Xenopus tropicalis: one gene and its partners. The protein of the gene in region 6 purifies or fractionates together with the protein of the main gene of each other region. This does not show direct contact. Links are inferred from orthologs where the notes say so. Each region holds a gene or a part of one and is shown on either strand. Other genes may lie near its edges.

Region 1 (4,578 bases), on a different chromosome or scaffold from region 6:
GCAGCTTCTGTAATACTAGTAGGGGTAACTGCAGCGTTGCCCACGGTTTGGGGTTGCAACACTCAATCCTACAGCTTTCAAAACTGCAGCCCCATCTGTTCCTGAAACCCCGCTGTTCCCAGGGGCGCTGGGAATTGTGCATCAACTCAGGTCCGGAATTTGTTTTATAAAATAATGGGGTTCTGCCTGGGCCCCAAAGCTAGGGGAGCTGATGCTGTTAAGCTTTACAAATGGAACAGTCATTTCATGATATTGATAATAATTCAGATTTGGGCGCTCGTCGGAAATAAATCAGGGCTCCCTGGTTGGGGGGGTGGGTTCCTCCTCACTGCCAGCAGGGGGCACCCAATCAGGAATTCTATGAAGTCAAAATCTTCCTCTAAAACCACCCAGACAGAGCACTGGGCTGTGGGATCCGCTGGTGCAGGCTTTTTTATATAATAATATAATCTTTTGTCTCTGCTTCTCGCTGCAGTCGGACTGACGCAGACCGCAAAGCCGCAGAATTGTGCAGCCACTGCAGCAGAAACCCGTACGGCGTTGAACATGTTAAACGGGGATATGGGGTTTTATTTTTTGCTTAAGCGCTGTAATGTACTAAAGAAGGGTATGTTCTAAAACAGCCCCGACATTGTGCCCAGTGGCCTGTCACACGGGGAGGGATCGCTTTATGGCACTTCCATAAAAAGCAGTTAATAAATAACCCTTCCCTGTTATATAAGAACTTTATCCCGAGTAACAGTCTCTCGAAATAGATCCTGGGCAGTTTCTATGTGAATATGTAACAAGGCAAGGGCAAGCGATTCCTCTGTATTGTGCCTTGCTGGGAGTCAAGGAGTTAATGAGAATTCATTCTACACCCTTGCAGAGCCACAGAGGGAGGCGCTGGGGATAGAGATATATATATATACACACACACACACACACATACATATATATATATATATATATATATTTACCTATATACACACACACTAGTTTTTTCAAGGCCAAACTAAGATAATAAAACAATGGCAGCCCCCCCCCCCCCCATCCTTCCTACAGAACCAAGGAGAAAAAAAACTCAAGTTCAGTTTAGATTTTTAACCCCTCGCCCTATCACACCCATTATTTACAGGCAGCCCCTGTGGGTGTATAAGTAGAGACAGAGGAATATATACAACATATCCCGTATAATAACAATATATATATAATAGAGGTGAGAATTTGGTGTTGAGGTGAGGTAGAGAAGAGGGGGTGCAGGATATTCCATATTGGAAATAGGGGGGCAATGATATAGAGTGGGTTCTAGAAGAGGGGGAGCAGGATATTCCATATGGGCAATAGGGGAGCAAGGATACAGAGTTGGTTCTAGGAGATGAGGGGGTGCAGGATATTCCATATTGGAAATAGGGTGGCAATGACACAGAGTGGGTTCTAGAGGAAGAGGGGGTGCTGGATATTCCAAATGGGCAATGATATAGAGTGGGCTCTAGGAGAAGAGGGGGTGCAGCATATTCCGTCTGGGCAATGATATAGAGTGCGTTCTAGAAGAAGAGGGGGTGCAGGATATTCCATAGGGCAATAGGGGAGCAAGGATACAGAGTGGGTTTTAGAGGAAGAGGGGGTGCTGGATATTTCAAATGGGCAATAGGGGAGCAAGGATACAGAGTGGGTTCTAGGGGAAGAGGGGGTGCAGGATATTCCATATGGGCAATAGGGGGGCAAGGATACAGAGTGGGTTCTAGAAGAGGGGGTGCAGGATATTCCATATGGGCAATAGGGGGGGCAAGGATACAGAGTGGGTTCTAGAAGAGGGGGTGCAGGATATTCCATATGGGCAATAGGGGGGCAAGGATACAGAGGGGGTTCTAGGGGAAGAGGGGGTGCAGGATATTCCATATGGGCAATAGGGGGGCAAGGATACAGAGTGGGTTCTAGAAGAGGGGGTGCAGGATATTCCATATGGGCAATAGGGGGGGCAAGGATACAGAGTGGGTTCTAGGGGAAGAGGGGGTGCAGTATATTCCATATGGGCAATAGGGGGGCAAGGATACAGAGTGGGTTCTAGGGGAAGAGGGGGTGCAGTATATTCCATATGGGCAATAGGGGGGGCAAGGATACAGAGTGGGTTCTAGGGGAAGAGGGGGTGCAGGATATTCCATATGGGCAATAGGGGGGCAAGGATACAGAGTGGGTTCTAGGGGAAGAGGGGGTGCAGGATATTCCATATGGGCAATAGGGGGGCAAGGGTACAGAGGGGGTTCTAGGGGCAGACACAATGCAGGGCAGGGGTAAGTATGGAAGGGTCCATTTGCAGATGGGGGGGCAGGGTGTGGAAATGATAAACACGGGGGGCTCCCAATGTTGGGAAGGGGGGGGGGTTGGAATTAGAAAATCACCCTCAGCTGTTCCTTACCGCAGTCTGGGTCTCTCCACCGCTGCCATACCGGGGGCCTCTCTGGACGCGCTTTGGGGCTCCCCCCACAGAGAATAGGGGGACAAGCTTGTGACCCTGCCGGCTCCCGTCCGCCTCCCGCATTGATCAGTCAGTCAGAGCCGCTGCAGGTCCGGCTGCTCCCCCATCTTACCCGCTGCACCCCAATAAGCACCGGGAACGCCAGTGGCCTGCCCTGGAAGGTGAGCGGGGGGGGGGGGGGGTAAATGCAGATATTGTTTCTAATCAACGCAGCCCCCCTGCTGGCAGCTATTAGAAGCCCCCCCGGGCAGCCTTCCAGCCCCCTGTGTTCCCCTCAGTCCGCACCCCCATGCAGGGAGCCCCCGCACCCAGCCTCCCAGCGAGCTGCACGGAAAGTTGCATTTAGGAAAGAGAAAAAGGCAGAGGGGGGGGGGGGTGCGATCCCTTCTCTGTGTGTCTCTTTCTCCTGCCTTCGCGGAGCAATCGAGCGCCGATCGCATGGATTCCAATGGGGAGGGGGGGGGGGGCGGGGAGAGGCTGTACTTTCTCAAAGTGTCTCCCCCCTCCCCTTCTCCTCTTCTCCTCTGCTGGAGAGGCTGTGTGGGATTTCTGTTTAACCAACACATTTCAATCAGGAGTAAAAGGGGGGGAGGGGGGGATCCTATTAACCCTTCATGGAGTCACAAAGGAGCTTGGTGCAATGGGAGAGGGGGGGGGGGAGGCAGCCTTGCTGTGTTTGTATTGGGGGTGGGTATTGAAAGAGGTCATCTCCCCAGTCATTATCCAGCTCCCTGGGTAGGTTTTATGAAGTGCAAGCTCTTGGGGCTGGGGGGTAGGCCCAAGACTGCATTATTATTATTAACGTTTATTTATAAAGCGCCAACCTATTCCGCAGCGCTGTACAATAAGTGTACTACAGGTGGGCAAAATCGGGCGAATCTAGGCTAATTCGGTTCTAATCGAAACAGAACGACGGGTATAGAAAAAGTCGAATCGGGGACCACATCCGACTAAATTATTTAAGCTGCCGGATCGATATATGTCTGATTTCAGGCCAGATATCGGTCGGGCAGGCCAGTCGTTAGTGCCCCTACACAGGCAGATAAGCTGCCGAGTCGGTCTAAAGGTGGCCATACACGGGCCGACTATAGCTGCCGATATGGGTCCCTTGGACCGATTCGGCAGCTAATCGGCCCGTGTATGGGCAGGGCAGAGCGGCCTGGCCGACCGATATCTGGCCTGAAATTGGCCAGATCTCGATCGGCCAGGTTAGAAAATCCGGTCGGATCGGGGACCGCATCAGCTCGTTGATGCGGTCCCTGATCCGACTGCCCCATTGCCGCCCACATAATCCGATCGTTTGGCCCCAGGGCCAAACGATTGGATTATTTTTTTTTTTACCTAAATGCTCCCCGATATCGCCCACCCGTAGGTGGGGATATCGGGGGAAGATCCGCTCGCTTGGCGACATCGCCAAGCGAGCGGATCTGCTCGTGTATGGCCACCTTTAGGGACCCATATCGGCAGCTACAATCGGCCCGTGTATGGGGACCTTTAAGCTTGGCGATGTTAGCAAGCAAGCGGATCTTCTTCAGATATCCCCACCTACAGGTGGGTGATATCGGGCGAATCCAGGCTAATTCGGTCGTTTGGACCTGGGGGCAAACAATCGAATTAGAGTGCCAGTAATAGGCGAAGTCGGATCGGGGAGCGCATCAATGAGTCGCTGCAGTCCCCGATCCGACTAAATTTTTGAAACTGCACGATTGATATCTGCCCGATTTCAGGCCAGATATCGGTCAGGCAGGCCCGTAGGTAGTGCCCCTACACGGGCCGATTAACTGCCGAATCGGTCTAAGGGACCCATATTGGCAGCCAGGGGCGGGCGTGGCCGACCAGTTGCCCTAGGCAACCCAGGGGGGTGCCATGGGTCATTGCCCCCACCACGTATTTACAAGTGGCGGGGGCAATGACAAAGGAGCACGGACTAGGGGTAGGCAGAAGAGGCTCCCGCCTTGCGCCCCCCAATCGTTGCGCCCCCAATCGTTGCACCTCCCAATCGTTGCGCCCCCCAATCGTTGTGCCCCCCAATCATTGCGCCCTAGGCAGCTGCCTCTTCTGCCTACCCCTAGTTCTGGCCCTGTCGGCAGCTACAATCGGCCTGTGTATGGCCACCTTTA
Region 2 (3,866 bases), on a different chromosome or scaffold from region 6:
CATAGCATGGAGGCAGTGTAACACAGGGAATAGGTCTTACATGAAAATATGAGAAAATAAGTCTTGGAATTATCAGCATTTCAACAAAAATATGGAAAGAAAATAAGCAGGAAGTATAGTGTTCATTAATGTGCATCCAAGTCTGTAAGGAAATGACTCCAGTATAATATTTAATAGCAAATGGTGTAGTTATTTTCAGGTTCTACTGCAAAGTGCTGTATTAAAAAATGTAGTAGCTATTATATATATTTTCCAGATTGTTTAGAATTGTTTATGTGCATATAATCAGTATGTACAGAGTCCTCTTAGAGTGTGTGTGCATGGACTTTACTTACACAGGGAGAGGTTAAAGAATGCCCACTAGATGGCACTGCTGCAACACTAACCAAATAATAGGGACAGATCCTCCATTGCAAGGAAGAAATAAATGATTTTGTCAGAGATTACTTTGCTAAACGCCAACCTAAAACATGACACGGGATGCCCTCATTACAGCATGTTGGGAAACCATCTTATATTGAATGGTCCTCATGTTTAATATTAAAGAGATAGTAAGGTTTTCCAGTTTTAACTAGAATGCATCACTATGCCCAGTACTAATGCTGCTTGTAATAAGTGCCTCTGTCTCCCTCTAAATCATCACTACTCACTTGTGTCGACCACTGATACAGTTTTAAGAACATGGAAGTCATAACGGACGCCGGGCTTTGGTGGGCATGGCAATGTACCATTAGGCTGATGCACTGTATACATATGTGCTCTAGCCAATCAGCACTTTGCCCTGCCCCACATCAGTTAGGATTGTCCTGTGCAAGGGCAATACAGGTGATGGCTGAGAGGCAAGGGGCAGGATTAGGGCTGGATGCATTAATATAAGCACAGTGACACGTTCTCGTTACTAACCCTTTAATACTGGTACATGGATACTTAGGCACTCCAGACCAGTAGTACACATGCATGCAAAATGACATAAATGGCACAGGAAGCTGTGCATGGATGCTTACAGAAAATGATCTTGAAATGGCAGGCAAAGCTCACTATCTCACAGATCAGCCCCCGACAATTTTTAAGGAAGATGTAAGGGACACTCCACTCCATGCTATAGGAATGTTACAATAAAGAATGTCTGTGGTGTTTGTGAAGGCGCCCTGCCCTCTTTCTAGGCCACACTATCCATCTGTTATATTTCTAGTGAGAGCTGGGCACAGAGACAAAACATAGTAAAATGCTACAAAAACACACTGCTCAGCACCATTAAACCATAAGAAATGACAAAGGCGGTAAGTCAATTGGTGACATGCATAAGTGACGTACAAATTGACATGCAGTGGTGGTGTAACTTGTTTCTGCAGCCTTCTTCACATACAGTCAGACTCTCCTCGTCCAGCATCCCTAGCAAGCAGATCGGGCACATCTGCTCCTCCTCATCTTTCATGCTAAAAATATACAGAAATAAATACATTCACTTAACTAGAACAAAGTCTAAATAGGTTTCTTGCATGCAGGATCCCTTTTAAATGTACACACCCTAAACATTTTACTTAAATTGGGTACGATGTTACATTTCAAAAACCATCAATTCATGTAGCATGCCTTCTGCTGATGTTGGACTACAGCTTCTAGCATCCTTCAACATATAATCAAGTGAGGATGAATGCTGGGTGTTGTATTAATGGTGAATGGAGAAAGAATATACTACTTGGGTAATTTCATAAAATTAAAAAAAGTTTTCCAAAGTCTAGAAACCCATACCAACCAGATATCTGCTTTCAAACAGCTGACCAGTAAACCTTCTCATTGGTTGCCGTAGGTTGATACACTATTAGCAGACTTTGCATTTTATTAGATTAGATGGATACAGAGGGTTGAATTTACAAGGTCCTGATGGGGTACAGCACAAAAGGTTCAGTCTGGTCCACAGAACCAGCTTTTTGGATACTAAATACTCAAAATAAATGAAATGTGCTACCACAGTGGAAGATTGCACTTCAGGTTACCTCTCTTGCTTGCAGGCTGGTGACTTCTCCTGCAGGTTCAAACTGATCTTATCTTACACAGAGTGGGATGTGTTTGATATGTTATTGTGATGGATTATATTTAAGAGAATTATCTGCTCTGTATTAAGCTGTGGACTATCAGTAGGATAAACAAACTGCAAGAGTATGAACTGGGCATATTAATCGTTATGTTTAATTAAGATCAAACATTTCATCAATAAAAGCAAATCCCACAGGCACGCACACAGCAAACTGCAATAATGATTCCTCAATACAAACCTGGTGTCTGAACTAGATGTAGAGGTGGTAGATGATGACAATGTATGTGAACTGGACATGCGTGACACAAACTTCTGGATGGTGTTACGAGATGGAGCTTTGATCCTTGAGCTACGTCTACTGTGATATTTCTGGAACAAACTCTCAACCTACCAAATAAAAAGAAAATAGCAGTGACAAGATACTGCTTTAGTTTGTTAGCCATTGTCTTTACAATGATACGCTGCTTCCGTGCCTGTTAAGCAGCCATGCTACAGGCTAAAATTACGACATTTCCCACGACCACTGGTCATAGGAACGATCATTTGTCCGCTCTACTAGCATGAAGAGTTGAATTGACAGATCTGCAGGTAAAACCAAAGGAATTCTTTACCCCATCTGACGATTCAGCATTAATGTTACTTTTAAAGGCGCCCAATCAAAATTTCCAGTCCTGTCTGATTGGCAACAAGACCTATAACCAAGGCTTTTACTGATATTGGCCATCCCACCACACACGCACCAATAATGGTTTAGTGTGATATTGGTGTGTGTATGGCCAACTTTAGGGCAATGATACATGGAGATATTTGTAGCCAGCGTTAAAAAAAAAAAAAAAAATCGCTACTGATGACTACAAATATCCCTGAAAATGCTTTGCCATAGACTAACATTGGCTATGCCCCAAGTAAAACATATTGCTTAAGGCCATCTGGCTTTATCATGGGAAACTGTGAAGACAGACAATTTCCCAAGATTAAACCAGACTGGCATGAGCAATATGTTTTACTTATGGCAATGGTAATGTTAATCTATAACAAGGCCTTTTTTAGGGAGATTTTTAGCCAGCAATAGCTACATGGCTACAAACCTCCCCATGTGTCATTGTCCTTACGTAGATTCCCAAGCTTACAGCAAAATACAAAAAAAACCCATAAATAACTATATATTTGCACAAAGCGGATATATGCTTACCTCAAAATTCTTCAGTGCTTTTCTCCACAACATGGTGTCAGATGGTTCTAACTGGAAGACTCTTAACATGACGAAGAGAAGATGGATGCAGAATGTTCCCCTGCCACAGCTACAGGCCTGCAGTAAGGAAATACATGTTTATGTGGCACTGCAAAAGTTAACAAATACAAAACACGCAGATGGTTAAAGTAAGTTTAGCTGTAGATTCCAGGTGTTTGTGTATCACCATGAAACATAACCAGTTCAAAAGTAGATCACACAGCTACGAGAAGTAATTATGAAACTGTAAGAGTTTTTTTATTAGCAGTGTAAGCAGAGACCTTTCTCAAGTGTGAAGAGCTCTGCCCGAAACATGTTGTGAGCTTACACTGCTAATAAAGAAACTCTTGCAGTTTCATAATTACGGCTTGGACCTATTTTATTTGTATACTTTTGAATATTCCAAAGCAAAAGTACATAAGTACCCTTAAAAGGGCTATGGCACCCATACAGCAATTTTTTTGTAGAAGCACCCTGAAACCAAGCCTGCAGGCTCCCATTGACTAAGTAATTTACCTGAAACTACTACTATATTACAGTCAATGGGAGCCAGCAGGGGCTGAAATATGCTAGGGGGAATAGAACCCACGAACCATT
Region 3 (4,401 bases), on a different chromosome or scaffold from region 6:
GGAATGCATCACATTGAAATGGATAATCATGGGTCTATGTTCTTAGGGTAGAGAAATGTTATATAATCACCAGCACATGTGTTTAAACTTAACTTCTAAATTTGGTTTCAACAGACAAACTGGCAACTATGGACTCACAATATACAGGGCCTTGTTACAAATACTGAGATCTTTGACAAATCCTCCCGTTTATTGTGTACCGAATACTAAAATGCTGTCTTCTGTAATTATTTTATTTCAAAGTACAAAAACAAAAAATGCAGCTTGAAGAATTGCAGTAGCAGCAGCGCCATACGGTGGGACTGCTTTTCATTTGCAGGGAGTGGGCATCTTGTTAGAATAAATGTGTAAAATACAGGGAAATTATGGAGAAAAAGAAACTTACTAAACCTACTAAAAACTGTAGTTCATATTTCAGCAGAAAAATGATCCCAACAAGCAAACGTAACAGTGAAGTGGTTTTAGAACAAACCTAAAGCACTATTTGAAAATTAAGGGGCAAAATAGTCATCCAACTAACCCAACCAGCCTAGAAGAATGGGCTAAATGTACTTTAAGGATAAAGACACAGTGACATTCCCAACACATGTTAGAGTATAAGTTGCTGCAACTAATCACCCGCGCGGATTACTTTATCAGAGCCCAGCTTGTGGTCACATGGTTGTGGCACCCTGGGAAATGAAGAATATGGCTAGCCTCATGTGAAATTTCAAAATTAAATATAACAAAAATCTGTTTGTGTTTTTGAAAAATGGATTTCAATGCAGGATTCTGCTGGAGAAGCTCTATTAACTGATGAGTTTTGAAAAACATATTTTTCCATGACAGAATTCCTTTAATTGTGGTACATTAATATGTATGCAAATACAGTAATACAGGGGTCTCAAACTCGCGGCCCGCGGGCCATTTGCGGCCCTCAGTACAGTATTTTGTGGCCCGCACCAACGCCTTCTCAAAAGCAATGAATGGATTGCGATTTTTATTGCGATTCAAGGGATAATGCAAGGCACGGCGGGCGGGAGCTGCTGATTGCGGAAATGACGTTATGCCATCATAACAGTTATTATGGGAAGACGTTCTGTGTGCACAATTAGCTCCTTAGGAGCTAATTGTGCACACAGAACATCTTCCCATAATAACTGTTATGATGGCATAACGTCATTTCCGCAATCAGCAGCTCCCGCCGTGCCTTGCATGATCCCTTGAAAGCCAATTTTTTGTGAAATCCCTTATGCTGCCCAGCCTCATCCTGACTTTGCCTCCTGCGGCCCCCAGGTAAATTGAGTTTGAGCCCCCTGCAGTAATATTTTTAAAAAAAATAATAATTTTGAATTAGGTGCAAAACTGCACACGCAAGCTTAGTATGGCAGCACATGAGCCAGCGCAAAGGCTATGTATGGGTGCAGCCACAACTATCAGATTTTTCAAGCGTAGGGGTGGATTCTTGGCCTGCGTTTATCAGCAGGATGAGAATACACTCCATGTGGCACTAGCCATAAATTTTAGTGCTTTGAAAAAAGAAAACAAAGAACACAATTTCAATGTAGATTCTGTATTAGAAACAGAATCTGAAGATGTAAGAAGTTGTTTTACCTCAAACTGCCAAAAGCAATATATTCAATCATATTAAAGAGGAAATTGAATACCTAAACTGGTAACTTATGCAAAAGTGTTCTGTTTAAACTATTAGGTTCATGGTACATGAAATGTCTTGTTTGTCAGACGTTTACAGCCGGCAGAGCTGTAATGTGTGACAGAGAGGGTTGAAGCATTTGATCATACAGTGTATATTGTAAGCTCTACGGGGCAGGGACCTCCTTCCTACTGTGTCTCATACCACATGGCACTTAATCTCTGTGTATTTATATTTATTGTATTTATTATAACACTTGTCCTCCCCGTGTGTAACTGTGTATATTGTAAGATTTACAGTACTGTGTATCCTTGTAGCGCTTTATAAAGTTGTATATACATACATTTCTGTTTTCTGTGGCAATTTAGTAAGAACGCCAAGACTTTATTACCTATACTGCACTGTTGGCTACACAACAAAACAATTCAGACCATCAGATCAAATATTCACTGGGTAAAAGTTTGCTGGCTATACATGGCTGGAATTCCCTACCAAGTTCGCCACAGCCTACTACTGCCTGCAATCACCATGTCCCACTACAGCAAGTGGTTACAGACTTTTTCTGTCTCAAAACAGCAATGGTCAAAACAACCTGCGTGCTATTGGCCTCAGACCATGGGACATAGATATCCAATAAAAACAAAACCCCAACATCTACATATCACATTTGCAACCTATTAAAGCTATACAGGGAACAATACACTGTTATAAAATATAGGACATCAGAAGTCACAAAAGCGTTCCATAACCATATAAAGGCAGGAGACCACATGCCTGAAGATTTAAACCAGGTGTTTAAACTTCTTTGTGACTTCTATGTTTATATTTTATACCAGGGGATGCTTGCTTTATTTATTATTATGTACACATTTCAATGAATCATGCACATAAACATTATTACTAGAGAAATGTTATAAGCATATATTTTACACATTAATAATGGCTTTCATGTATTATACCACCTTGCTCCCCAATCACTCACCCAAAGTCATCATCCATAGATTTGAAGAAGAACTTGTAGTTTGGTTTGTTGAGGACATTCTTAAAATCTCCCAGTGTCACTTTCTCTGCAGGGACTGGCAACTTCACTAAATATGGGGTCTCCTGTTCATCCAGGTGGTAGATGACCTTGGTCTCCCCCATAATTATCCAGCTGAGAAAGGGGTATTATGAGAGGGAGGGACAATACACAGATGTGGGGAGGGGCTTAGCCCCAAAATCTGTCATACAAAAGAGGCCATAGAGAGCACCGTGATGGCACCAGACTATATTAGCCTGAAAGATGGAGTGTCAGGTTATGCGGTGCCAAGAAGAGAAAGTATGGTACTTGGGGACAGAAGGTCTCTAGAGACTTAGTGGGGGAGGGAGACACTTTAAGAGGTGAGAGTGTTAGGGGGGAGGGGGGAAAGAGAAAGCCCGTCAGAAGCAGAGATGATAGAGCCGGCAAACAAGAAAGAAAGTGTGTATAATAGGGCCAGAGAAGACAGACAGCCAGTGCCTCTGTGAAAGCGATGAGGGTGAGTAAACAGTTTCGTGTGTGGCCTGTCAGTCTTTTCTCACGTCCGGTGTCCCTTGCTGTTTCCACAGCAGGCCGATTTGTCTCCAATACGCTTGCACCTTACTCTTTAGGCCTAAATGGTTCAGTGAATCTTTGTGGGACGTTCTCGCCGCTGCTTCCTCGGTTTGTCTCTGTCACTCGGTTGTCCGTCTCCTAAACAGCGCGCATGCGTCAAGACGACTACACTAGCTGCGCCCAGCGCATGCGCAACGCAAACTCATCCTCAATAATAATCCAGCCCCTTGTCATGTGATTATTTCCAAATGCGCCTGAACTTCCGGTACTGATGTATGAGGCAAAGGTAGACAAAGGTGGCCAGTAAATGTGGGAGACTGCATCTAGACAAAAGGTTTACAAACCTCTATTTCGCAGTAACACTTATTGAAAGGATTAAGTCTAGTCTAGATTCTACCTAGAAGTTAAACTCAGGAACCATGTACCAGGATATTAAAAATATTAATATATTAATAGCAGAATAGCTCCAGAATCTCCCATAGGTCGTGAGGTGGGGTGGGAACCTTATGAGAATAGTGAGTGCAGCTTGCAAAATGTTGAGGACTTTGCTCCCTGGTCTTGTATGCGTGTTCAGCAGCTCTGTATTCATGAGTAGAATACCCCTTTACCTAGCATAGAAGAAACAGAATGACATCAAGTAATCTTGTGAATTAACATTATAAAATACAAATTTAAGACACAATCTGTATCATCATGAGTTTCTGGATGTGCAAGTTAACAAGAAGTCTAGCTGTCTACATAACTACAGTATTTATCAAATCTGCAAAATCTCTGGGCAAGAGTTGCCATTAGGCTTGCCATCTGGCTGGTAAAAATTATATTTGATGCCAATGTTATTAATAGGGGAAAAGGCAAACATATAGGACCCCCTAATATTTTTTTCTTGGAAATGTGGCAACCCTAGTTGCCATCCAAAAATATGACTGAGAATTATCCTAGTTATTTAAGTGCCCAAAAGAAACTGAAGGGCAATATCATTTTCAATTAATGTCAATCATAAAACATTAAAGATATTCTTAAAGTGCACTGACATTTTTTGTTTTTTTTTCTGTTTTGATATTATGGACTATTTTGTATAGCTCAGTGAAATAAAATCACAGTTAAGGGTGAAGACACACTGAGCTACTAGTAGTAGCTACTTTTTCACGACTACTAAACTCCAGGAAATACCCTGCCATAGACAATACTGAGAATT
Region 4 (3,167 bases), on a different chromosome or scaffold from region 6:
AGGAGACACTTAAATGGAGACACATACCAAGAGGGAAAGTGAGTTTTGCGCTATCCTTACCCTTGTGCCATGTGATAAGAACATCTCTAATCAGTTTATTTTTTTTCTAAGCTTTTAATGGCCCATAAAGAACTATACAGATAACTACAACACTTGATTTGGTACTATATGCAAAAAAAAAAAAAAAAGGAAAAAAAAGAAAAACTGGATATACACGCAAACACTGAAGAATGAAAAAATTAATGGAAAAAAAAAATAATAAATAAAAAATAACCTTTCATGCTTACTATGATAAAAACATACATTTTTATATCACTTGGGGGGGTCTTAGTCATCATCTTAAAAGAAAGTAACCCATTTCCCGCTTTTCACTTCACAAGTACTTGCAAAACGTTCAGCAGATCTCCGAATGGAACCACACCTTAAAGCAGCGTGAGCGTGGGACAAAAATGAAAATTGTTCTTTTGCTGACAGCGAAGCAACAGGAATCCTGGCAAGACATTTAAATAGATTTCAAAGATCTGTGACTGCTACAGTCTCTCAGGTTTCATCTCTAAATTGCAAGTTTTGAGTAATGAGCCGCCGCCACTGGAGTGTGCAACCCACCGCCACGCAATAAGTTGCAGACTCCGGTGACAATGACGGAGATACAAGAATTCTTCTCATGGCAGCAATCATGCAGTCCACTGTGCAGATTGGCCCGGGCTGCTTCCAGCTGCCTGACAGCAATATTCCAGGATGAGTCAGGATAATGGGTCTCTCTCTCTATATTTTTTTTTTTTCAGCAAATACTGGTCAAGTAGAATGTTTATTTCCCGGCGTTCACAGGTGGTTTAGTTACCATACTTCTCAAGCAAGTCCTGTAAGGGAGTAAACGAGAGGCAAGATTAAAGGTTCATCTATGTTTTTTTTTTACAAAGAAAGGACACAAAAAGCTACAACCAGTGTCAGATAAATAGAATGATATACTCCACTTCTTGCTTTTACATCCCAAGGGACCACGAGCCACATCTCAGCCCTACTTTGGAATGTCCATGTGTACATACCATAAGGGAGCCGGTCAGGCTGACACTTAAGAAGCATCTGATGTGCGCTGAACTCAAATGCCTGCAGCTGAATCCTAAATGTACTCTCAAATCCTCTCTATTGTGTTCAACCAACCTGACATCAGTCTCTCCTGACAGTGCATTTTTCCTTGATGTCAAGGCGAACAGAAGAAAGGCAATGTAAAAAGCAGAAGGTATCAGATGTGCACAGTGTGCACGAGATGCCTAGGGTAACATCCATCTGATGGCATGTGTAGGAGGAGATCACTTGCCAGCAGATATCTGGTAGCCTCCTGCTGATATCTGATGGGGTTTAAAATGCGTCAGATCCAAGGACACAGCAGAAATTTTGCACGTGTGAAAGCATTTACAGTGCTATTCCATTTCTTTCTTATCCTCTTTGCTGTATGGCTGTGGTCCTGTTCTGTAACTAAGTTTACAAGGTGGAAGTGGTGACTGTGAGGAGGAAAGGCAGGCCGCAATACAGATATCCATAATACTTTTCGTGCATCTCACTGCCCTTCAGCTGAGTTTTTAAGGAAAAATGACAGCTCCAGAAACCAACCCTTCCTCTCCATTCTGCTGTATGGTGTCTGCACTCAGAGGCACAGCGTGGGCCTGGGTGCAGACACACAGAGTGGATTTTGGAGTAAATATTCATTCTCACGTGTTTTGGAGCAGAAAATGCTCCCCATGTGTGGGTGCAGACACAGAGTTGGACTGGCCCACTAGGATACCAGGAAAACTCCTGGTGGGCCCAGGTGTCAGTGGGCCCTCCTGCTCCTGACCATTTGGCCTGTTTCATGCTTATTACCCATTTCTGAATGGAAAAAAGAGGAGAAATACATGCTAGCATGTAAATAAAAGAGACTTGGAGAATAAAGTGGTTTTAGTGAGGAAAGGAGGAAAATTAGTTTGGAGAGTGGGCCCATGGTCTAAAGTTTTTTGGTGGGCCCCTGGGGTCCCAGTCCGACACTGCAGACACACCATAAAGCAAATCGGATTGGAGAGACTCTAGGCATGTGCTTATATAGAGGCCAGAAAAAAAACCCCACCCCCGTGTGGCAGTAGCCTTACGGGTATATTTATCATGCGGTGTAAAAAGTTAAGTCAAGCATTACCGATGATGTTGCCCAGAGCAACTAATCAGCAATTAGATTTCAACAGTTAGAAAACAAAAGCAAAGCATCTGATTGGCAGCTATGAGCAACATCACTGGTAATGTTTCACTCCACTTTTTACAAAGCATGATAAATATACCCCTCAATGTAAATGTGGTCCTGGGGGAATGGGAATGTAATCAGTACAACAGTAGTGATAATATCCTGGCATGCACATATCATCAAGAGGGATCTGGGCACCAGAGCAGATGGAACCCAGTGGATTACTGCCAAGACAATCAGAGGAGAATCCCTTAAGCACTGGGATACTGTGAGTAATGACACAGTAGACTTGCACATTAATACAAGCTAAAACAAAAACTGGCCTTTAGGAAACACAAGTTAAAGAAAGTATTAGCTAATAATGGCCGACTGTGATCTAAAAACTCATAATCCCACACAAGATTTACTATTTTCCCATATTTTTTGCCTGCAAATGTAAAATGTGTCAGTGACAAATGACTGGTGTACTTAGCACTTCCTCCTACCCACCTGTGCAACTCTGAGGTACTACGTAGTGTCATTTATCTGGAGATGTACGTGTATGTTCTAGAAGGGGAACGCGTTGACTCTGCATGTGCAGCTGGGTCGTTGAGAAAATCCCAGATGAGGATAGTGTCGTCGTGAGAGCTGCTTACTATCTGGAACTCATCAAACTGCAGGCGGAAAACTCTGCCCGAATGCTCCTGGTAAACAAAGCAAAGATAATAGGGATAAACAGATATTACACAAGTTTATGCAAAGACATGTAACACATATACAGCGTTCTGCCTTCACCACACTGCTACTATTACCAGAAGAGGTGCTTTATCCAATTAAAAGGAGCAAATATATATATGGGATTTTTTTTATATTTTTTATATATATCTATATATATCTATATATATCTATATCTATATCTATCTATACCTATCTATATCTATATATTTTATACACACACACACAGAAGGTTGGCATTCAT
Region 5 (3,866 bases), on a different chromosome or scaffold from region 6:
TAATCCTCCTGATTCAGATAATCCCCCTACCACTATGAATATATTCCAACCTCTTATATGTGCCCCTATACAGACACTTTGCAGAAATATACTGCTGAATGACCCAGCTAAGGTCCCCCTGTGAAAAGCAATGTTCTGAAAAAGTAAGAAGATCACTAAGGGCAGTGGCATAAGGGGAGATTGGCCTGCATGTCCCCAACATGTCATCCAACCGGCAAGAATGTAAATCGCCGGCGGGATGGCATACACATCGCTTCGGTTTTCTGAATTCGGCCAAAGTTTCCTTGCGAGGCATCTTCGGGCGACCAAAGCAATGCGTATATCAACCCACCGACTATTTACATTCTTGCTGGTTGGATGGCATGTCGGGGAGATTAGTTGCCCGCAATAGTGAAGATTTAATGCGGCCACTGCTGTAAAAGGCCATTTATGACTGCAGTGTGCAAAGTGCATTTTTGGATGCAAATCAATGCTAACTACGGCCATGCAGGGAGTTTCCCAGAAGTAATTAAAAAGACTCACAATACAGGTGTGCAATTAGCTTGCTATTTTGGCAACACTGGATGATTATTTTCACTATCACATCTTTTCCCCCACTAATGCATGTGTGTGTGTGTATATATATATATATATATATATATATATATATATACACACTCACCTAAAGGTTTATTAGGAACACCTGTTCAATTTCTCATTAATGCAATTATCTAATCAACCAATCACATGGCAGTTGCTTCAATGCATTTAGGGGTGTGGTCCTGGTCAAGACAATCTCCTGAACTCCAAACTGAATGTCAGAATGGGAAAGAAAGGTGATTTAAGCAATTTTGAGCGTGGCATGGTTGTTGGTGCCAGACGGGCCGGTCTGAGTATTTCACAATCTGCTCAGTTACTGGGATTTTCACGCACAACCATTTCTAGGGTTTACAAAGAATGGTGTGAAAAGGGAAAAACATCCAGTATGCGGCAGTCCTGTGGGTGAAAATGCCTTGTTGATGCTAGAGGTCAGAGAATAATCCTTTAGGTGAGTGTAGATATATGTATGTATAAAATAAGCAAACTTTAAAAATAACTTTAACAAGCACCTGAAAAACACTACCCACAATAAGTACAACTCTACACTAATGTCCCTACACTGTACTGGTGGTTTATTTAAAAGTTTTATATGGTTTATCTGGTTGATGACACCTGACTGTCAAAAACTAAAATAGTATAGCATAGATAAACAAGCTTCTGTGTAGCAATGGGGGCAGTTGAAATAGGGCTAAATTGCACATGTTAAATAGCAGATAACAGATCAACTCTGTAGAATATAATGGCGTTCTGCATAGCTTATCTGTTATCTGCTATGTAACCTGATCCTTTTTCCAATGAATGGCTGCCCACAAAGCTACACAGCAGCTTAATTATACAGTCTATAGTAGTGTTTCTGAAGCAAACACCTGTTATACCAGTGCAGGTTAACAGTATATTATACTGTTATTACTTATACATACGCTTTCATACACTTTGTACTATTTCATGCCCACGAGTGGCCAGCCGAATTCTTGGAGATAACCTTGTAACAGATAGCTATTATGTGCCAGTATAGTTGTATATTATATATATTTATTTTCCTTTTTTGACGCCATTTTGCCATTCTTTTCATGCATCTTCTTTCATCTGTCATGGCAGTATGTTTACCCAGTAACTTATAAATATGAGTGCTTTCATGCAAATTATTTGGTGTGCATATTGCATTGTGATTTTTTCAAAATTCCTATGAATCCAAAGAAACATTTTTACAACTGATCGTACTTGGGGGGGGTACTTACCACAAATAAGCTCATCGGAGCTATCGCTGCAGTCGGGGAAGGTGTCGCACTGCTGACTCATCATTATACACTGACCATTGGCACAGCGGAACTGATCAGGAAGACAGATAGCTGGAATGATAGTAACAGGAGTTTTTTTTCAATAATAAATCATAACTAGATAACAAATTGCACTTTATACTAAATAACTGGTCATGCATTTAATGGTGAAGTATAGATTCCCATAAATATTTAGTGAGTTTTCCTTTCCATGACATGAAATACAGCAAAATAATCAGTTTAACTGCTTTGAAGTCCACCTCAAGGTTATAAAAGCTGCCAACAAATTTACTACCAGGATACCTAGTTGGAAACAATGTTGGCAGCCTTTACTCAGTTTCCCCAGGTGCATCAATATGCAATGCTGCAGGCTGCTCTGTATAGCACAATATTCATCTGACATGAGCACAGTAACGCAATGAATTGTTTCTTAGCAGTTATAAGAAATATAATATCTCACAGAGATAAGGAACTGACACCCAACTGCAAGAACCAGTTGCTAGTCTGGCAAGTATAACTTGTACACTAACAGGGTAAAGTACTGCTACAAAACAAAATCAATACAGTAGTATGCTCTATAGCTAAATGGGCAAAAAAGAACAAACTTAAAAAGACAACAGCAACACCTGTACAACAAATATAAATTATAAGTCCTACTTACAGTCACAGTCCAATTCATCTGACTTATCCTGGCAATCAATCTCCCCATTGCATTTCTGACGGGCATCAATGCACTGTCCCTTCTCACATTGGAATTGGTTGCTTGAACAAACGGGGCAGTTTTCTTCATCACTATTGTCATCGCACTCTGAAAAGCCATCACAACGCCAGGCCATAGGAATGCAGTCAATGTCCCCTGTTGCACATGTGAACTGCTCTGGGGAGCAAGTGGGCGGCTCTAGAAACGGTGTGATACATTAATTTTAGTGATATGAACTGGAATTTATCATATAAGGCAAATACAGGTATAGGATCTGTTATTTAGAAACCCATTATCCAGACAGCTTTAAAACTACAGGAAGGCCATCTATCATAGAGCCCATTTTAAGTTTTTAAAAATCATTTTCTCTTTCCCTGTCCAGGTATGGGATCCCTTATCTGGAAACCCGATAAACAGAAAGTTTCGAATTATAGAAACTATCACCCATACACTCCATTATAAAAAAAATACATTTTTTTTAATGCTTTTCTTTGTCTCTGTAATAATAAACCAGTATACTTGTACTTGATCCCAACTAAGATTAATTAATCATTACTGGAGGCAAACAATCCTGTTGGGCTTATTCAATATTTAAATGATTTTTAGCAGACTTAAGTTATGGAGATCCAAATTATGGAAAGATCCCTTATCCAGAAAACCCCAGGTCCCCGAGCATTCTGGATAACAGGTCCCATACCTGTAATAATAAAACAGTACCTTGTACTTGATCCCAACTAAGATATAATTAATCCTTATTGGAGGCAAAACAGTCCTATTGGATTACTCAATAGTAAGAAATCCAAGTCCAGCTTGGGACTCCTCCAGTTACATGGGAGTGGGAGAAACAATAGGATACATGAAAGCAGCTCTAATGTGTACCGCTGGCTCCTTCTGAAAGCTCAGACTCAGGCACAATGCACTGAGATGGTGCCTACACACCAATATTACAGCTAAAAATACATTTGTTGGTTCAAGAATAAGATTTTAAATGGTAGAGTGAATTATTTGCTATGTAAACAGTATAATTTAGAAATAAAAAGTACACCATAAAAATAATGACAGTATCCCTTTAACAGCATACACCTAAAATAGGCCCAACAGCATGATATCGCACAAAGATTGCACTTTTATTTTAACCCTTAGGAAGTCAGTGTAGCTGGCGAAATGCGTAGTTTATATCATCTCTCCAATGGACTGGCCAGCTTACTAACATAAGGACCATGCACAGATCTGCAGCTTTTGGGATTCCTTACAAGCAAAACAGAACTAGGGATAGTAGAAATCCAAGAGGCTTTTATTATCTGACACAC
Region 6 (4,561 bases):
AGATAGGCTGTATCTGAATGAATGAACCTGCTATTGCCAGGGCCATTAAAGCTATTGGTACTTTGAACCGTGCCGCAGAGATAAACAGCATAAAGCAATAACCAGGGACACTAAAATACTATATTACCCATCCCAAGACATGCAACTGCTCACGTTCTACTCCTCAGCACCACTAGGCGACATCACCTTCTGCCCGGCAATCCCTTTTACTGTTTCCAGTGGGGGCTATAATAGACTAACTCGCCACACACACAGTGTAAAAATCCTCTTTCTAGCCAGCTACATGTGTCTGCATTCCTTTTCTCTGGTTCCGACTCCTGAAACAAGTTAGTTCTGCTCTCGATAGTTTCTGCTATACTGATTCAGAAGTCAGAGCCAGCAGTGCAGAGAATACAAACACCCAGGCAGCGTTTTTCCATACCAATTACATTTACACATAACTTCAAAACCAATGACATTTATGAATGTATATACTGCTTACAGTTACATGTCAGTTACAACGAAAATATATTTTAAATATCTATCTCTCCTTGATAACTATAAGACTTCTGTATAATGTGTCAAAAATACAAATATTATATAACAAAGAAGTTGCTGGTCCTGAGAGTTCTAATTCCAATTTGATATATACTATACATATATATTTTCTTTTTTACACACATCACATTACACATATATTCACTTTTTTTTTTTTTATAAATAGACATTTCCCCCCCAACAATGAGGATAGATTTCTTTGGTCAGACCAAAAGCAGATATAATAAGTCAGGAGTGGGCACACAGCCTTGCAGGATTATTTGCAAATGATCAGTATATATCAGTAATATACCAAGCACTGGGTGCCGATGGATCAGGTAGGCAGGTAGGAACACAAGAAACAGGGTCCCCCACACCCCCAAGGCGTCTGGCTACGGCATTCAGATTCTGACATGCACAGAATGCGGAGAACTTCTGCCCCCAATATATATTGGGCACCATGGAAAGTGCTAATGCATGAACTGACAATACCCCACACTCCCACGGTACCTTAGCATTTCTTACATAAAACTGCAGTTGTAACGAAAACTATAAAGCCAATCATACCCCCAACCCACACATAAACTGGCTTAGTCCCTACAGCAGCAATGAGCAACCTGTGGCCCTGCGGGTATTGCCACAGCAGCCCCCCTGTTTCCTTAAGGGTGAGAAGCCCAAGGTAGGTGATGGAACACAGTGAGCAATGGTCAATAAACACCTTGCTGAACTACAATTCCCACCCATGGTGAAACTGCCGGACAACCCACAGAATACAATTCCCACCATGATCGATTTAATGGTCAAGACACTCAGAGCTACTAGTAGCAGCAACTAAAATAGACAATGCTGATAATTTACTGATAATTGTCTCTATGTGTGTTTTAGAAGACAATTCTCAGTATTGTCTATGGCAGTGGCAGCTACCTAAGGGTGAAGACACATGGAGCTACTTAGTAGCAGCTTCTTGTCATGGCTGCAAAACACCAGAAAACACCCTGACAATACTAAGAATTGCCTCTGCTAAAACACACGCAGAGACAATTATCAGTAAATGATCAGCATTGTTTATTTTTGTAGCCATGACAAGTAGCTGCTACTAGTAGCTCCGTGTGTCTTCACCCTAATACTGCACTGCTGCTGATTCTCCAGCGTTTGTAGCCACAGTGCATTTGCTAGTGAAACAACTCCCATCACCCCGCTATGCAGAAGTCAGAGCCAGCAGTGCAGAGAATACAAACATCCAGGCAGCGTTTTTCCATACCAATTACATTTACACATAACTTCAAAACCACTGTCTATGGCAGTGGCAGCTACTAGTAGTTCTGTGTCTTCACCCTAAGGGTGAAGACACATGGAGCTACTTAGTAGCAGCTTCTTGTCATGGCTGCAAAACACCAGAAAATACCCTGACAATACTGAGAATTGCCTCTGTTAAAACACACGTAGAGACAATTATCAGTAAATGATCAGCATTGTCTATTTTTGTAGCCGTGACAAGTAGCTGCTACTAGTAGCTCCGTGTGTCTTTACCCTTAGGGTGAAGACACACTGAGCTACTAGTAGCAGCTACTTTTTCATGGCTACTAAACTCTAGAAAATCCCCTGCCATAGACAATACAGAGAATTGCCTCTGCTAAAACACACGTAGAGACAATTATCAGTAAATGATCAGCATTGTCTATAATAGTAGCCGTGACAAGTAGCTGCTACTAGTAGCTCCGTGTGTCTTCACCCTAATACCGCACTGCTGTGGATTCTCCATCGTTTGCAGCCACAGTGCATTTGCCAGTGAAACAACTCCCATCACCCCACTAACAGCTTATCACGTAGATAAGTTGTCTCCCCCCCATTAATGATGGGATCCCTGCAAAATAGTCCCCCCCCCCCAGATATAGTAAGGATGTAGTAAAGCCCCAGTAAAGCTGACAGATATCCCCCATACAGCCCTGTGGATGATGCTGAATTAAAACTCCCAGTAACCCCTCTGAGCCCAGAGATGTAGTCATTCAGTGTCTGGTGATGTTCATCCCTGGGACTACATTTCCCAGCATGCTCTAGCAGAAAAGCAAAGCATTCAGAGCCCCAATGTTGGGAATAAGGGCAGCAGAGCAACCTGTGATGGACTCTATTACCACAGCCACGTACAGGGCCACAGGGTTCCCATGCATGCCTATAGACGGGCCAGGGTACGGGGCTTCCCAGTAAGATGCGGCCCAGCGGTACTGGCAAAGCCGGGGCCTGGCCTACAAACTGGATCCGTCCGCCTCTCCTGGAAAGTTTCCTCCCCCCGTTCCTCTCACACACACACAGACAGACAGAGAGCCGTGTGGCCTTGCTCCTCACCCAGGCAGCCCTGAGCCGGCTCTTGTGCCCAGCCGTTCCGGGCCCTCTCCCTCCGCTCCGCAGCCACCCATCAAGCTTCCAGCTGGAGCCGCCACCGCGCAGGGATACTCGGGAAACAGGAGAGCGCAGAGCGCCGGGATGCGGCCATGCCCCGGACAGTGCGATACACAGTGAGTGAGTGTGTGAGAGAAACACCGTGCACGGCACCCGCGGGAGTGCGCATTGGCGTGCCCGCGCCTCACATGCGCGGCCCCGCAGCTTCTCGCGATTTTTCCCGCCCCGCTGGTACGCGCAGTCATGTGACTCCAAGCAGCTCTCCGCTTTTTACCTCAGGGATGCGCTCCCCGGCTCTAATATGGGGTGTCTGTGAGGTGGGAATAGTATATGTAGGGCAGCCATGGGCCCTAGGGCCCCAGTGTGGGAGGGTTCTCTGAGGAGGGATGGTAAGAGTTGGTGAGGAAGCTTTTGGGCTGTAGCTCCCACAAGAACTACTCTGGTTATGGGGTGAATTGTGGTCCTGTAGTGTATGTCCTAGTATTCCAAAGCTAGCCAATGGCTGCCAGGGGGGGGCTGGGAGTTGTGGTTTTTAATGTAGGTAATGTCTCCCAGCCTTCTATTGGTGGGAATATTGAGGCAACTAAAGTAACAATCACGCTTTGGGGCCCGTCTATCGAAGTCCGAATTCTGGACTTCAATAGAAAAAAATTCGTATTAAATCCGATAATTTATGATGTGCGTTAAAAACGCGAAAAATTTGTATCGTGGTCATACGTAAATATTGTGGTACGGTCCGAATGATCGTAAATGGCGCGAAAACCTTTCTAACTTTGAAACCTTCTGTGCATGATTTTGGAAGCCTCCCATAGGGCTTAATGGCACTCTGCAGCTCCAACCCGGCCCAAGGAAAGTCTCCCATAGGGCTCAATGGCACTCTGCAGCTCCAACCCGGCCCAAGGAAAGTCTCCCATAGGGCTCAATGGCACTCTGCAGCTCCAACCCGGCCCAAGGAAAGTCTCCCATAGGACTCAATGGCACTCTGCAGCTCCAACCCGGCCCAAGGAAAGAGTGCCATTGAGCCCTATGGGAGACTTTCCTTGGGCCGGGTTGGAGCTGCAGAGTGCCATTGAGCCCTATGGGAGACTTTCCTTGGGCCGGGTTGGAGCTGCAGAGTGCCATTGAGCCCTATGGGAGACTTTCCTTGGGCCGGGTTGGAGCTGCAGAGTGCCATTGAGCCCTATGGGAGACTTTCCTTGGGCCGGGTTGGAGCTGCAGAGTGCCATTGAGCCCTATGGGAGACTTTCCTTGGGCCGGGTTGGAGCTGCAGAGTGCCATTGAGCCCTATGGGAGGCTTTCCTTGGGCCGGGTTGGAGCTGCAGAGTGCCATTGAGCCCTATGGGAGACTGTCCTTGGGCCAGGTTGGAGCTGCAGAGTGCCATTGAGCCCTATGGGAGACTTTCCTTGGGCCAGGTTGGAGCTGCAGAGTGCCATTGAGCCCTATGGGAGACTTTCCTTGGGTCGGGTTGGAGCTGCAGAGTGCCATTGAGCCCTATGGGAGGCTTTCCTTGGGCCAGGTTGGAGCTGCAGAGTGCCATTGAGCCCTATGGGTGACTTTCCTTGGGCGGGGTTGGAGCTGCAGAGTGCCATTGAGCCTTATGGGAGACTTTCCTTGGCCGGGTTGGAGCTGCAGAGTGCCATTGAGCCC
Region 7 (4,299 bases), on a different chromosome or scaffold from region 6:
GCCATTGCGGAACAGGGGCAGACTCTCTGACTGCAAGGTGGGAGCAGCATAGAGGGCTCAGCAGGACTCCCATTCGTGAGCAATTGTAATATATGAAGAAAAAAAGGCCAACTTCAAGATGGTTTGAGAACCCTACCAGTTACAGTATACCACTGCTCCAAGCTAAATAGACACACACAATATCAATGTCTTTCATTCTTTATTTCAGCGCTACCCCCACCTTAAATGGATACTGTCATGATTTTTATGGTATACTTTTAATTTCTAAATTACACTGTTTACATAGCAAATAATTTACTCTACCATCTAAAATTATCTTCTAGAACCAACAAATGTATTTTTTTGTTGTTGTAATATTGGTGTGTAGGCGCCATCTCAGTGCATTGTGCCTGAGTCTGAGCTTTCAGCCAGCGCTACACATTAGAACTGCTTTCAGCTAACCTATTGTTTCTCCTACTCCCATGTAACTGGAGGAGTCCCAAGCCGGACTTGGATTTCTTACTATTGAGTGCTATTCTGATACCTACTGGGAGATGCTATCTTGCTCCCTTCCCATTGTTCTGCTAATTGGCTGCTGGTGTGTGTGTGTGTGTGTGTGTGTGTGTGTGTGTGTGTGTGTGTGGGGGGGGGGGGGGGGTAGGAGGAAGGGAGGGGGGGTGATATGACTCCAACTTGCAGCGCAGCAGTAAAGTGTGTATCAGAGCACAAGTCACATGGTTGTAACACCCTGGAAATGAAGAATATTGCCCCATGTGAAATTTCAAAATTAAATATAAAAAAATATGTTTGTTTTTTTGAAAACAGATTACAATGCAGGATTCTGCTGGAGAAGCTCTATTAACTGATGCATTTTGAAAAAAAAACACGTTTTCCCACGACAGTATTGCTTTAAACTAATACCAAGCGCTTGGAGTCCATGTTGCACAATAATATGCCAGATGATCATTCCCTAACACAAAGCCAAAGGCCTGACTAATTATATATGGGGACATTCGCGCAACTGTGTGAGAATGCAGCCCCAACCAGAAAACAAACGTGCGATTTTGTAAGCAACAACCTATCCGTCTCAACTCTGAGCAACGTGAGTGAAGCACACACACACACACACAATCACCTCAGAGACTCCCTCACAACAAGCCATATTTTGAAGGGACGCACCCCGTTGGTCCGGCGCCTAACACAGCGTTTATTCTGATTGGTCAGCCCCACTTCCTATCAGCCAATAGAGAATTTGTATACACGCACATTCGCAAGTCTGCCAAACCGGCCTTCTGGTTGTCATTTGCTTCCTTTTCCTGATCGTGTTATGTTCCAAGTGTGCGGCAGCGCTTACTAGAACATAGCACTTAGACACCCAGGCAGTACAGCCCAACTACAGAACTTCAAAAGTATGACGTCCATTATTAGACCTCGCCTCCATTCACTAGGCGCTTGGTTGACCCCTAGCGGTCACTGAGAGGAAAGCATTTTCTAACCGACTCAGCGCTTCGAACACTGAGAACGTTCCGCCTTCGTCACGTGTCTCCTGATTCCTCCGATTGGGCAGCCGAGCTGTCACTCACTAGCAGAAGTCGGTGCTGGCGGCGGTAAGCGACGTTGCCGCCACAGGTCGCCTTGTGAGTTCGGGGGTGGGGGCTTGCGGTTTTTTTGGATTTACTGAGGGACTTTTAGACCGACACGGGAAGCCCGCCTGCCGCCCAGCGACCCCTAGTGCAGCCCAGTCTATGGCGGTCGGAGCGCTGTAAAAAACTTTCTGTCTGCTGTGAAGAGGGGAGATGCCGGGGAGAACAGGGGCGAGGAGCCGCTAGAGGGGACCCTCCTCTCCTGCCGGAGGGCAGCACTAGGGGGAGGAGGGGGCTGTCACCGTGACATTAACCCCACACTTCCCGCCCGAACCCCCCCCCCCTCGTTTCCCTGCTCGGTTGGGCAGGTGGCCCCGCGGGCCTGGCAGTGGCCATGTCGGCGATATCGGCAGCCGAGAAGGTGGATGGATTTACGCGGAAGTCGGTGCGGAAAGCCCAGAGGCGGGGGCGCTCCCAGGGCTCGTCCCAGTTCCGCGGGCAGGGGCCCCCTGTGGAGCTTTCCCCCCTGCCTCCACTCAAAGGTAAGGCGGGACCTCATTGGCCTCTCAACTAGCCCTAAACTCCCAGCAGCCCCCGCCAGGCTGCACAGCGAGTTGGGAACCATAACGTCCCCGGGCAGCCCCATTGTGCCTGATCAGCTCTATACCCATACGCTAGGGGGCGCAGCGCTGGGAAATGCCTGGCAGCCAACAGTAAACAGCCAAGCTGGGCTGGAAATCAGCAGGGAGTGGCACATTTTCACTAATGGGTAATGGAGGGGAGGGGGCAGAGCCGATGTGGTGTGCACAGGTTGGGATATGGGGGGTGCAGGGGCATTAGTAAGGTATAGGGCAGAGCATGACTTGGGGCACAGGTGTGTCAGTGGCCTATGGGGTAGATGGGGACAGAATCTGATTGTGATATGGGGGTGCAGGGGCATTAGTAAGGTATAGGGCAGAGCATGACTTGGGGCACAGGTGTGTCGGTGGCCTATGGGGTAGATGGGGACAGAATCTGATTGTGATATGGGGGTGCAGGGGCATTAGTAAGGTATAGGGCAGAGCATGACTTGGGGCACAGGTGTGTCAGTGGCCTATGGGGTAGATGGGGACAGAATCTGATTGTGATATGGGGGTGCAGGGGCATTAGTAAGGTATAGGGCAGAGCATGACTTGGGGCACAGGTGTGTTAGTGGCGTATGGGGTAGATGGGGACATAACCTGATTGGGGTATGGGGGTGCAGGGGCATTAGTAAAGTATAGGGCAGAGCATGACTTGGGACACAGGTGTGTCAGTGGCCTATGGGGTAGATGGGGACAGAATCTGATTGTGATATGGGGGTGCAGGGGCATTAGTAAGGTATAGGGCAGAGCATGACTTGGGGCACAGGTGTGTCAGTGGCCTATGGGGTAGATGGGGACAGAATCTGATTGTGATATGGGGGTGCAGGGGCATTAGTAAGGTATAGGGCAGAGCATGACTTGGGGCACAGGTGTGTCAGTGGCCTATGGGGTAGATGGGGACATAACCTGATTGGGATATGGGGGGTGCAGGGGCATTAGTAAGGTATAGGGCAGAACATGACTTGGGGGCACAGGTGTGTCAGTGGCCTATGGGGTAGATGGGGACATAACCTGATTGGGATATGGGGGTGCAGGGGCATTAGTAAGGTATAGGGCAGAGCATGACTTGGGGCACAGGTGTGTCAGTGGCCTATGGGGTAGATGGGGACAGAATCTGATTGTGATATGGGGGTGCAGGGGCATTAGTAAGGTATAGGGCAGAGCATGACTTGGGGCACAGGTGTGTTAGTGGCGTATGGGGTAGATGGGGACATAACCTGATTGGGGTATGGGGGTGCAGGGGCATTAGTAAGGTATAGGGCAGAGCATGACTTGGGGCACAGGTGTGTCAGTGGCCTATGGGGTAGATGGGGACAGAATCTGATTGTGATATGGGGGTGCAGGGGCATTAGTAAGGTATAGGGCAGAGCATAACTTGGGGCACAGGTGTGTTAGTGGCGTATGGGGTAGATGGGGACAGAATCTGATTGGGATATGGGGGGTGCAGGGGCATTAGTAAGGTATAGGGCAGAGCATGACTTGGGGCACAGGTGTGTCAGTGGCCTATGGGGTAGATGGGGACATAACCTGATTGGGATATGGGGGGTGCAGGGGCATTAGTAAGGTATAGGGCAGAGCATGACTTGGGGGCACAGGTGTGTCAGTGGCCTATGGGGTAGATGGGGACATAACCTGATTGGGATATGGGGGTGCAGGGGCATTAGTAAGGTATAGGGCAGAGCATGACATGGGGGCACAGGTGTATGAGTGGCGCTGAGCAATAGAAGGGAAGCTGGAATGGTATGGCAGAGATGGGAACAAATGGTATGGGAGCAAATATGTGTTAGAGTATGGCAGAGCAACATATGGGACAGAGAAAGGGATGCTGGGATAGGGGCAAACGATGTGGGAACATTAGTATAGCAATAAAAGGAAATAATTGTTAATGGTGAAATAGGTGCATTAGTAAAGAATGTTGCAGAGCAAGAGATGGTGGAATTGGTACATTAGAGTGTCAATGAGCAACTGGTGGGGTAATAGGGGTGTTAGTAAAGTATGTCAGAGCGAAAGTGGGAATAGGGGCATATATTCATGCAGAGAAAAAGATGGGGAAACTAGGGGCATTAGTACTGTATGTCACATAGCAAGAGTTTGTGGAATTGGTGCATAGAGTA

The links.
Region 1: the proteins of axin1 (region 6) and hipk2 purify together in Homo sapiens (affinity purification with western blotting; 3 studies listed by BioGRID). This does not show direct contact. The link is inferred for Xenopus tropicalis from reciprocal best matches to the Homo sapiens genes AXIN1 and HIPK2.
Region 2: the proteins of axin1 (region 6) and map3k1 purify together in Homo sapiens (affinity purification with western blotting; 5 studies listed by BioGRID and IntAct, with this or other methods). This does not show direct contact. The link is inferred for Xenopus tropicalis from reciprocal best matches to the Homo sapiens genes AXIN1 and MAP3K1.
Region 3: the proteins of axin1 (region 6) and dvl3 purify together in Homo sapiens (affinity purification with western blotting; 3 studies listed by BioGRID and IntAct, with this or other methods). This does not show direct contact. The link is inferred for Xenopus tropicalis from reciprocal best matches to the Homo sapiens genes AXIN1 and DVL3.
Region 4: the proteins of axin1 (region 6) and btrc purify together in Homo sapiens (affinity purification with western blotting; 7 studies listed by BioGRID and IntAct, with this or other methods). This does not show direct contact. The link is inferred for Xenopus tropicalis from reciprocal best matches to the Homo sapiens genes AXIN1 and BTRC.
Region 5: the proteins of axin1 (region 6) and lrp5 purify together in Homo sapiens (affinity purification with western blotting; 3 studies listed by BioGRID). This does not show direct contact. The link is inferred for Xenopus tropicalis from reciprocal best matches to the Homo sapiens genes AXIN1 and LRP5.
Region 7: the proteins of axin1 (region 6) and ppp2r5a purify together in Homo sapiens (affinity purification with western blotting; 3 studies listed by BioGRID and IntAct, with this or other methods). This does not show direct contact. The link is inferred for Xenopus tropicalis from reciprocal best matches to the Homo sapiens genes AXIN1 and PPP2R5A.

Annotation. Positions count from the first base shown.
Region 1 is NC_030679.2:7,974,699-7,979,276, forward strand, and holds the start of hipk2 (homeodomain-interacting protein kinase 2), read right to left. Parts: upstream 2,882-4,578; 5' UTR 2,399-2,881; intron 1-2,398.
Region 2 is NC_030677.2:190,927,143-190,931,008, forward strand, and holds part of map3k1 (mitogen-activated protein kinase kinase kinase 1), read right to left. Parts: intron 3,348-3,866; coding exon 3,231-3,347; intron 2,426-3,230; coding exon 2,277-2,425; intron 1,437-2,276; coding exon 1,315-1,436; intron 1-1,314. UniProt on the Homo sapiens protein: Component of a protein kinase signal transduction cascade. Activates the ERK and JNK kinase pathways by phosphorylation of MAP2K1 and MAP2K4. May phosphorylate the MAPK8/JNK1 kinase.
Region 3 is NC_030681.2:100,195,689-100,200,089, forward strand, and holds the start of dvl3 (segment polarity protein dishevelled homolog DVL-3), read right to left. Parts: upstream 2,978-4,401; 5' UTR 2,777-2,977; coding exon 2,616-2,776; intron 1-2,615. UniProt on the Homo sapiens protein: Involved in the signal transduction pathway mediated by multiple Wnt genes.
Region 4 is NC_030683.2:30,626,225-30,629,391, reverse strand, and holds the end of btrc (F-box/WD repeat-containing protein 1A), read right to left. Parts: intron 2,893-3,167; coding exon 2,731-2,892; 3' UTR 2,699-2,730; intron 861-2,698; 3' UTR 771-860; downstream 1-770. UniProt on the Homo sapiens protein: Substrate recognition component of a SCF (SKP1-CUL1-F-box protein) E3 ubiquitin-protein ligase complex which mediates the ubiquitination and subsequent proteasomal degradation of target proteins. Recognizes and binds to phosphorylated target proteins.
Region 5 is NC_030680.2:37,131,459-37,135,324, forward strand, and holds part of lrp5 (low-density lipoprotein receptor-related protein 5), read right to left. Parts: intron 2,755-3,866; coding exon 2,518-2,754; intron 1,929-2,517; coding exon 1,818-1,928; intron 1-1,817. UniProt on the Homo sapiens protein: Acts as a coreceptor with members of the frizzled family of seven-transmembrane spanning receptors to transduce signal by Wnt proteins.
Region 6 is NC_030685.2:15,101,638-15,106,198, forward strand, and holds the start of axin1 (axin-1), read right to left. Parts: upstream 3,151-4,561; 5' UTR 2,860-3,150; intron 1-2,859. UniProt on the Homo sapiens protein: Component of the beta-catenin destruction complex required for regulating CTNNB1 levels through phosphorylation and ubiquitination, and modulating Wnt-signaling.
Region 7 is NC_030681.2:14,669,985-14,674,283, reverse strand, and holds the start of ppp2r5a (serine/threonine-protein phosphatase 2A 56 kDa regulatory subunit alpha isoform), read left to right. Parts: upstream 1-1,357; 5' UTR 1,358-1,956; coding exon 1,957-2,104; intron 2,105-4,299. UniProt on the Homo sapiens protein: The B regulatory subunit might modulate substrate selectivity and catalytic activity, and might also direct the localization of the catalytic enzyme to a particular subcellular compartment.